Caenorhabditis elegans: one gene and its partner. The main gene of each other region encodes a partner of the protein of the gene in region 2 in a complex. Each region holds a gene or a part of one and is shown on either strand. Other genes may lie near its edges. The genes, in order: cap-1 and cap-2.

Region 1 (4,443 bases), on a different chromosome or scaffold from region 2:
GCTGTCGGGTGATCCAGTGAGTTCAGCGGTTGTCTTTGATTGTTCAGTGAGCGATTGTTTCTTAAAGTTTCAAAATGTGAAATAATTAAAATAATAATTGCTTATATACCCTCCACGGCCCATGGGAAGATAAGTGGCTGAAGAATTTTGGCCCATTCCGCCACTAGAAGCCGAAGATGCGCTTTGTCTTGAAGCAGAAATTCTCCATCGTGCTGATCCGATTAATTCAGCTCTCCTAAAATTGAGAATAAATGTTTTATAAATCGAAAGGATACTCACTTTTTCTTATGGCTTATCACAATTTTCGCAATGAGAGCACATGCTACTCCAAAAACTACCAAGGAAATGAAGGCGATCGACGTTGCAGTTGTATGATCACTTGGAGGAAAAGATGCTGAAAAAATGTGTAATCTTAGAAATATGTTTCTGAAAGCTTACTAGTCAATGGAATTTCCGTCGTGGTAGTTGTAGTCGTGCTGGTTGATACCGTACTTGTCGATGATACCAAATCTGACAAGTTGCTCAATAAAGTCGCATTGAGAACCTCAGTGAGGTTTTGCATCTGAATTTTCTTCAATTAAACGAACACATATTAACTATTTAGCTAATTCGTTTAAATATATATCAAAAGGTGCGCGACCTTTCTAAAATCAGAAAATATCTCGAAAATTCTTAATCACACACACACAAATAATATATAATTGAAAAATGAATCATACCATACAATAAAATTAGATACATAGATGATACAAATTATCAAATCATGAAAAAAGAAGCAGCGGAGCAAACGAAGGGTATTATGTTGTAAAGCACGTCTAGTGTCCGGCCAAAGGATAAAGGAAAGTGGGAGAAATAAAGGTCGAAATTGGAGGATTTTTTGGTTTTTGGAGAGGATTAGGAAGATGATGAAGACCAGCAGACGAACTTGAAGCAAAGCGATGTGATAACGATTTTGTGATTACTTCATTTCCTGACCAATTCGGTAGGTTTGAGCCTGAATTAAAATTAATTTATTCTTTTTATTTTATCAATTCTGAAAATTTTGACATGCCTTTGTAGAGGCGCACAGATTTATTATGGTAGCCCTTGCTTAATCTTTTTCAAAGAAATTACTTCGCATTTAGAGAATTTTGTCGGCTTCATCTCTTGTTTCTGTTAAAATTCTTTTTAAATTAGTTTTCAAATCACAATTATTTTTTATTGTGTCTGCATGACAAGGGATATAAAACTGATTCGAAGCATTTGTTAACAGAAAAATAAGAAACACCGAGACCCATCTGAATAAATCTGTGCACTTTTCCGAAGGCATTCCGAAATATTGTGAAATTACGATACCTTATTCCAGTCCATCTTAGCGCGAGTAACTGGCAATTGGCGACGAAGTGCTTTGAATGTGGTATCAGACATATTAGCGTAATTCTCTTGTACAGCATTCTGATATATAGTCTCTTCCTCGGAAATGGCATGAATTATTTCTTTGGCGGTTTTGTCGAAGTCAGCCTGAAAATAGGGCTTTATATGCCAATTTTTAATTCGATTAAATAGCTCTATGAAAAATATAATTTAAATGATTCCTGTGATTTTATTTTGTTCTTCACAATTTTATGAAAAACTTTTTTTTCTATCCTTCTAAATTGGATCAATTTATGGAAAAAAAAATTTACCGAAACATTGACTTTAAGAACCGGCTCTTTCTCAGAGAACAACTGCACGTTTCCGTCTTCGTAATAATGAACTTGCGACAAAATTTTTCCTTTCATCTCCTGAGATCCTGATTTACCATCGCCAACCGGCACATTCCACTCCGAACGCCATCTTCCGTTACAGAAATTTTTTGGCTGGAATTGATGAGATTCGATGCAAATCGTGAAAACTCCGTTTCGAGCAAAAACCACTCCCGTTCCACTTTTCGCGTAATGATCATCAATATATATATCGAGTTGAGTTTGAAGAGCTTGACGCCATTGTTCGGTTATTCCAGACTCGGCTGGATGTGGTTGAAGATCTGCGGCCTCTTTACGGACGTGATCGTATTTGAAACTTTTCTTTGAAACTTCATCGTAGAAACGTCCATTACCCAAATCATTGTATGGAGTGATCAGAGTCTGAAGAAAATAATTAAATATTTGAAGAAAGTTTAAAAAATGAAAATAGTATACCTGCTTGGCAACACCATCCAACTTTACTGGCACAAATTGTCCAACGTTATATTGAGCGATAGCATTAACACATTTGTTCTTCAGAAGATCATCATTTTCCAAAAGCATCCGAACCGAATTGAATACCTGAATGGAAAGGTAAATTGACAATTGAAGTGAATTGCGAAATATAAATTTTTTGATGACTATAATATCAAGCTTGAACGAGCAATTCTCCTAAAAATCGACAAAAAATTACCTCGTTGAACTCGCCGGGTGGCGCGTGTTTAATGAAATCCGAAGCAATGCGGACCTTTTCGGCGTCACTGATCTCCGACATTCTGAACGAGAAAGAGTTATGCTTATAAACATTTTAAAAATATATTTCTATCAAATAACTAAAAAGAAATAAAGATTGACAAAATAAAAGTGGTGATTCATTGAATAAAAGAGTGAACAAAAATGAATCACAAACAGAGAAATGAGCGCATCGATTTTAGCCGTAGAGCGCGCTTGCGTTTTCGAGAGACACCACACGGAAAGTGGATAGAGATTACTTGAGATATTTAGTTTGAAATGTTTTTTATTCTTCAGCGAAAAAGAAAGCACACTAAAGCAGTTATAAAAAATGAGTAATAAATAGTCTATAAAATAAAAAGCATTTGAACCATGTTCAGAATTCAATTACATTATTTACACTTAAAATTTGTGAAAAATTCGCTGGAAGAGAGAATATGTACTAGATGTGAGAGCATTTCTAGAGAAGAAAATCTTTGAAATTTGAGAGCATGTCAATGAAAATTTGAAAGAAAATTATGTCGAAAAGCCAAGAATAACCTGTGCTACGAGAAATATTAATTATTTGCGTCTGAAATATAATTCGAGAAACACGAAATTTTGGAAGTGGTACGGTAGATTTCAGTCCAAGAAAAAAAACCGAAATTTGAACATTGCAATCTTTCAATCAATGCGACTTATATAGAAACGTTGTTCATAAAACAAACAATGCATTTTTTTCGGGAATTCCCTTCCTCTGCTTCTTAAACTGCAAAATCAAATTGATGAACCAGAAAACGCTAAGCTTCAAACTTGAAATAATAGTTCAGAATTGATCAATTAAATTGTTTAATCTGAATAAAAAACTTTGGATCTAAAAAATTCCGGTTAAATGTTTTAAAAACGTTGTTCATAATGCAAACAATTCCACTCTTTTTTCGGAAAGTGTTCGCTTCCTCTTCTTCTAATAATAGTCCGGCAACAACGGATTTGCTATATTCTAGTTGTTCGAATAACTAGGTCAAGATGATCACGATCAACTGAAAATGCTATAAAAGAAAATTGTTAGACAATTCAGAATATTCAAAGATGTTATTCAGATTCCTCATACTACTCCTAACTGTTTTAGCACTGGCAACATGCCGAAAAGTTCACATTCAAGTTAGAGAAAATGTCACACAAAGTTGTCCGAATGGTTTGTTCTTTTAAATAAAAATTAAATGGTTTTACAATTAATTTACAACCAAGTTTAGTGGATTCCGATGTTATTGACGAGAGCTCGTTGAAGATCACAATGAAAATGTTGAAGAATGATAATCCAGAGGAAGAAGATGAAGAAAAAGATGAAGTAACAATTACTGATATTAATGGAGAAACTCGCCAAATTGATTTCCCTGGATGCTATAGAGTTAAAGTCAGCTTTAAGATGCTGAGACCTATCGAGAATCCGTAAGTTAGAGCTGAAACTTAAGACTGGAGTTCATTCGTAAAATTGAATCCTGCAAATCTCTTAAAATCGTAATAGATTCCGTATTTTTCCCTATTAAACTTGCACCTCTTTACACCTCTTCGACGGGGGTTTCCCGGGTTTTTTGGTTTCATGAAAAGTGCGAACTGAACACACTTATAACATAGTTTTCTTTACTTTATTAGTGAAAACATTTTTTTTCGATAAACTAAACCGTCAAAGTAAAGCAATGCCGATAACAGTCTAATAGAAAAAAAAAATGGTACATTCTTTCTTCTAGATACATTGAAGCATTTATGCAACTTGGCCAAAACGTTCCCTGCAAATCAGAAGACGCGATTCAAAATCTTCGTGGAGTTGAGAGCATTTGTGCAAACGTAACTAGTCCATCTCAATGGTGTCCAGAGAGTTATAACTCCCAATTGAGAGAGATGCTCGGTGGTAAAACTACATGGTTGGTTTGCAATTTATATAAACTAACAATAGGAATTGGCTTTTCAGTAAATTCTGCTCTCTGTGCGAAAACGTTAAGGAAAACGTAAAAGAAAATGAGAGCAAATT
Region 2 (4,199 bases):
AAATAATTAAAAATTTCAGCTGCAAGGAGGCGACCCAACTGGTACAGGACATGGTGGAGAATCAATTTGGGATAAGCCATTCTCAGATGAATTCATCTCCGGTTTCTCCCATGATGCTCGAGGTGTGCTCTCGATGGCTAATAAGGGCTCTAACACCAACGGATCACAATTCTTCATTACATTCCGGCCGTGCAAGTATTTGGACAGAAAGCACACAATTTTTGGGAGACTTGTTGGAGGACAGGATACACTAACGACGATTGAAAAGTTGGAAACTGAAGAGGGAACTGATGTTCCGATGGTTTCAGTTGTTATTATGAGAGCTGAAGTATTTGTGGATCCATTTGAAGAAGCTGAGAAAGAAGTTCAAGCTGAGAGAGCAGAGATTTTGAAGAAAAGTTTCTTAATTCTATTACTAATTTTAAAACTAATGATATCTATTTTCAGCTTCTAAGGACGCAGCTTCATTAGCAAATAAAAAAGCTAAAGAAACTGCAACAAAACCAGAAGCAGTTGGAACTGGAGTCGGCAAGTACATGAAGTCGGCCGCAGCTGTGAATAAACGACAAGGAAAAATGGAAGATGTACCCTTGGAGGCCGCAAAGAAAACTAAATTTGCAAGAGCAGGCCTTGGAGATTTCTCAAAGTGGTGATGAAGACCCTCTCTTTTTTTTTAAATTTAAGGAATAAAATACTTTCATCGAAAATATAATTGAAATGAAAAGTAATCTTAAAGAGGATAATTTACATTGCAAAATACAAAACAGTCGAACGAGCACCTAGAACGAAAATGGTCCAGGAAAAGCTCAAGCTCTTCTCGGAAGGAACATCAAGGCATTTTGGTAATAAATTGTGGAAAAGCCATAGCACATACACTTTGGAGCGAGGAGAAATTGTGGGAAAAGAGATTTTAATAATTCTAGAAAAAAAGTTTACACTCGAGAAAAGGCAATGAAAAAAGGTTTTAAAAGAAGAAACAAGCTGGTATTATGGTAGATAAATATACAAAACTCGCAAATAAAGCATTAAAATGAGAGATTTTGAGCTGCAAATGTAGATAGATCACTCAGTTTCCGCGGTTAGCCATGGCGTTGTTCAACTCGCGAACGATCTCATCTTGCTTCTCGAGCTCACTCTGCTTCTCTGTTGAACGGAGATCCGACATCACCTGGAAAATATTTTTTTCGAAAATTGTACTTTTTAAAAATGAAACTTTTTTCATATAATAAATTTGCATTTTGCTTACCTTCTTCGTCTTTCCAAAGTATATCTCATTGATCGTCAGACGCATTTTCGACTCCTGATCCTCAATCATTCGTCCCATATTAGCCAAGTGTGTGTTCTGATCGTTGATTGGTGCATCCATCTCATGCTATAATATTTCTTTTTAAATATATTCACAACTCGAAACCAAAACCTGTCTTGTAAGGGAGCCACCGAGGTTCATCACACCGCTGGAGCTTTTGTTTGTCTGCAGCCACAGCATGATAGTGGAGGTGAGCTTGTAGTGAGCCTGGCGTGCCTGGAAAATTATAAATTAAAAAAAAAAACTCTTCAACAGTTTTTGAACCAACTCTTTCCGTGATCTCAATAACGTGAATAGAATCCCAACATCCTGTTATATTTTTGGCTCCGTCTCCCTCTTTCTTGATGAGCACAATTCCGGCGAAACCTCCATTATCCAAGTCCCAGAAGTAAACTGATGAGACGCCTCCCTCGAAGTATCTGGAAATTATTATTATTTATGAGCAAATATATGATTTTTCTGTCAACTTACAAATCACGGTATGACTCAAAAGCGGCATTTGCCTCGATTTCCATTTTTCTGCGCTTTTCCGATGGCAATTGTCCATCCTCGAGTGGTGGATCATAGGTATTACTCCATGGTGATCTGAATTATCAGAAAAAATCGATAGATTTCAAATAAAATGACTCATACCTGTAGCTATCGCCATCTCGATTGTAGTCACAAAGCAAATACTGTTTGCCGGTCTCACGGTCCGCGGCGATTTTCAGCGGTTGATCGATAGTGCCTAAAACCATCAAGCGAATTTTTTTAAATTAGTTAAAAAGGAAACATACTGAGAAGATCATCAACAAGATGAGGGCACAGATCGATGAGGTCCGTCAAATTCTTGTCGCAGTGTTGTGGAGGAAGTCTTCGCATCAAGTCGAGGGCACAATCGAGCTGTTGTTCTCCCTGGTAAATATTTATTATAAATTGTTTTTAAAATATTTATTAAAATACCATTTTTGATAGTTTCGAGCCGGATGTGGGTGTGCTCCCTGAAACAATAAACTTTTATGTCAGATTTTAAGTCGTTACAACCTATTAAAAACATAAAAAGACTCTAAACGATTGGGTAATGATTTTTTAGTTCACAAATAAGATTAAATTTCGCAAAAATATATTTTAAAAGCCATTAGAAAGCAGGAAAGTTGCGAAACGGAGCGACCACTTCATTGATTTTACACTCCGTTTCTCTCACTCTCTCGTCCCTCCACCGTACCCATAGTCACTCTCGTCGGCAAATCGCGGCGAGACCCGCGAGCTTTTGGCGTTTCGCCAGAGTTCTTCAAATTTTTGTTTTTTTCTTCGAGCTTTTAAATTTAAGTTTTTTCCGTCAATTTTTATGTTAATAAACCGAAAAAATTAATTTTAAATTAATTGACATGAAATTTTCATCGCAAGTTTATCCGTGTTCTGTACATTCTCATCGCTTCATCTCCGAGAAAACACCGAATCCACTAAATTTTGTTATTTCAGTAATTGCAGCCAAAACGAGTCAAAATTGGAGCGCGTCAGAGTAAACGTCACTGCCGCAACCTTCCATCTGAAGTGAGTATTTAAATGTGAAAATTTTGAAAAACTGGGTGAAAATTCGCGCACATTTCTGTAAATTGGCTCCCGATTTGGTTTTCAACGTTAAAAAACGAAAAAAAGCATTTTCAACGTTTAAACGTGCGTTTTAAGGAGGTTTTCATTATAAATTGCCAAAAAATTCCACTTTCCATTGACTTCAAATCATTATAACCTAGCTTCAGCGTGCAAAAAGAACAAAGGCCGTCTCGAAAGTCAGTGAGCATACTATGAAAAGATCGAGTTCAATGTTGGACATCAACGAGGACAGTCAACATTCCACGGTCAGAACTTGTACTTTTCTTTTGATCTTGCCGCTTTGCTAATGGATTTCTTTTTTGAATTTTCGTTGAATTTAATTATTTTATCGCTGCAAAGGGCTTTTACAATTTTCCCTGAAATCGTCACTATAAAAGAAAAGAAATAATTGCAATTTTATTGCATTCTCCGCAACTACATTCTGTTTTTTCCGACTCCAAATAGTTCAAAGTTCTCTAGAATCACAATATCTTCCTCTGAAGACAAAAGATCAGTTGTCACTAAAGCCACATGCCGACTTTTCTGTTCAAGGGGGGTTCCACCATATGTTTCGGCGCTCAAATTACATGTTTTTTCGCGAAAAAAAGCTAATTTTCCTGTAACCTGAAGGGTTTTCTTTTTAAATAAATAAAAATGTTCACGTTAATCCAGTGATATATCGAAACTAGGTGACCTAATTGACGTGGAGTTCAGATTATACCGGCTTTTCTAGAACTTTCTATCTGATTTTCAGGATTACTGCGCCGTTTCTTGATAGTTTTCGTCTAAAAACCGAGTATATTTTAATATTTGTTGGCAGTTTTTGTCTTATTTATCACAATTTTCAGTGAGAATTCCTTGGTTTTTCTCATGGGATAAGCGTTTTTCACTGGAAAATATATTTTCTTGGTAGAAAATTCTCCTCGACGAAATCGTAGTTATATTCTCCCAGCCGAACACTAAAATGCTGGAAAACTAGGAAACTAGGGTCTAGTTGAAAAATTTTGCAATTTTTCCAAGTACAGCAGCACTTTTTTAAAATATTATCTTTAATATGATTTTCCACCATTTCTCTCTCTCTCTCTCCTGACTTTTATCTTTTTCGTCATTATTTCTTTTTCTCTGTTACAGCACTGGTTCTGCTCTCTCCTTTCCTCTTGTCGTCATTCAAAAGGTTCCCTTTGGTTTTGTTTCTCTCTTTTTTTTTCAATCTCTACGTCTCACCACTCTCTCGCTCTCTCTCACATTGTTTGATTTTGATTTCAGTTTCTGTGCTGAGAGAACTTTTCAACTATCTCTTCTTTGTTTTTTGCTGTCATCT

What was found.
Region 1: cap-2 (region 2) and cap-1 share a complex: the UniProt entries of both Caenorhabditis elegans proteins name them as parts of the F-actin capping complex.

The regions. Positions count from the first base shown.
Region 1 is NC_003282.8:7,227,745-7,232,187, forward strand, and holds cap-1 (F-actin-capping protein subunit alpha), read right to left. Parts: upstream 2,480-4,443; 5' UTR 2,479-2,479; coding exon 2,398-2,478; intron 2,286-2,397; coding exon 2,160-2,285; intron 2,106-2,159; coding exon 1,665-2,105; intron 1,501-1,664; coding exon 1,336-1,500; intron 995-1,335; coding exon 959-994; 3' UTR 678-958; downstream 1-677. Other genes in the region: D2024.5 (Mid2 domain-containing protein), read right to left, coding at 1-60, 110-235, 280-394, 439-562; D2024.4 (DUF19 domain-containing protein), read left to right, coding at 3,504-3,609, 3,668-3,863, 4,163-4,336, 4,384-4,443. UniProt on the Caenorhabditis elegans protein: F-actin-capping proteins bind in a Ca(2+)-independent manner to the fast growing ends of actin filaments (barbed end) thereby blocking the exchange of subunits at these ends.
Region 2 is NC_003280.10:10,867,283-10,871,481, reverse strand, and holds cap-2 (F-actin-capping protein subunit beta), read right to left. Parts: upstream 2,287-4,199; 5' UTR 2,252-2,286; coding exon 2,249-2,251; intron 2,201-2,248; coding exon 2,083-2,200; intron 2,034-2,082; coding exon 1,940-2,033; intron 1,892-1,939; coding exon 1,778-1,891; intron 1,726-1,777; coding exon 1,575-1,725; intron 1,523-1,574; coding exon 1,418-1,522; intron 1,373-1,417; coding exon 1,247-1,372; intron 1,169-1,246; coding exon 1,067-1,168; 3' UTR 655-1,066; downstream 1-654. Other genes in the region: cyn-4 (Peptidyl-prolyl cis-trans isomerase 4), read left to right, coding at 20-398, 448-653; gmps-1 (putative GMP synthase [glutamine-hydrolyzing]), read left to right, coding at 3,091-3,144. UniProt on the Caenorhabditis elegans protein: F-actin-capping proteins bind in a Ca(2+)-independent manner to the fast growing ends of actin filaments (barbed end) thereby blocking the exchange of subunits at these ends.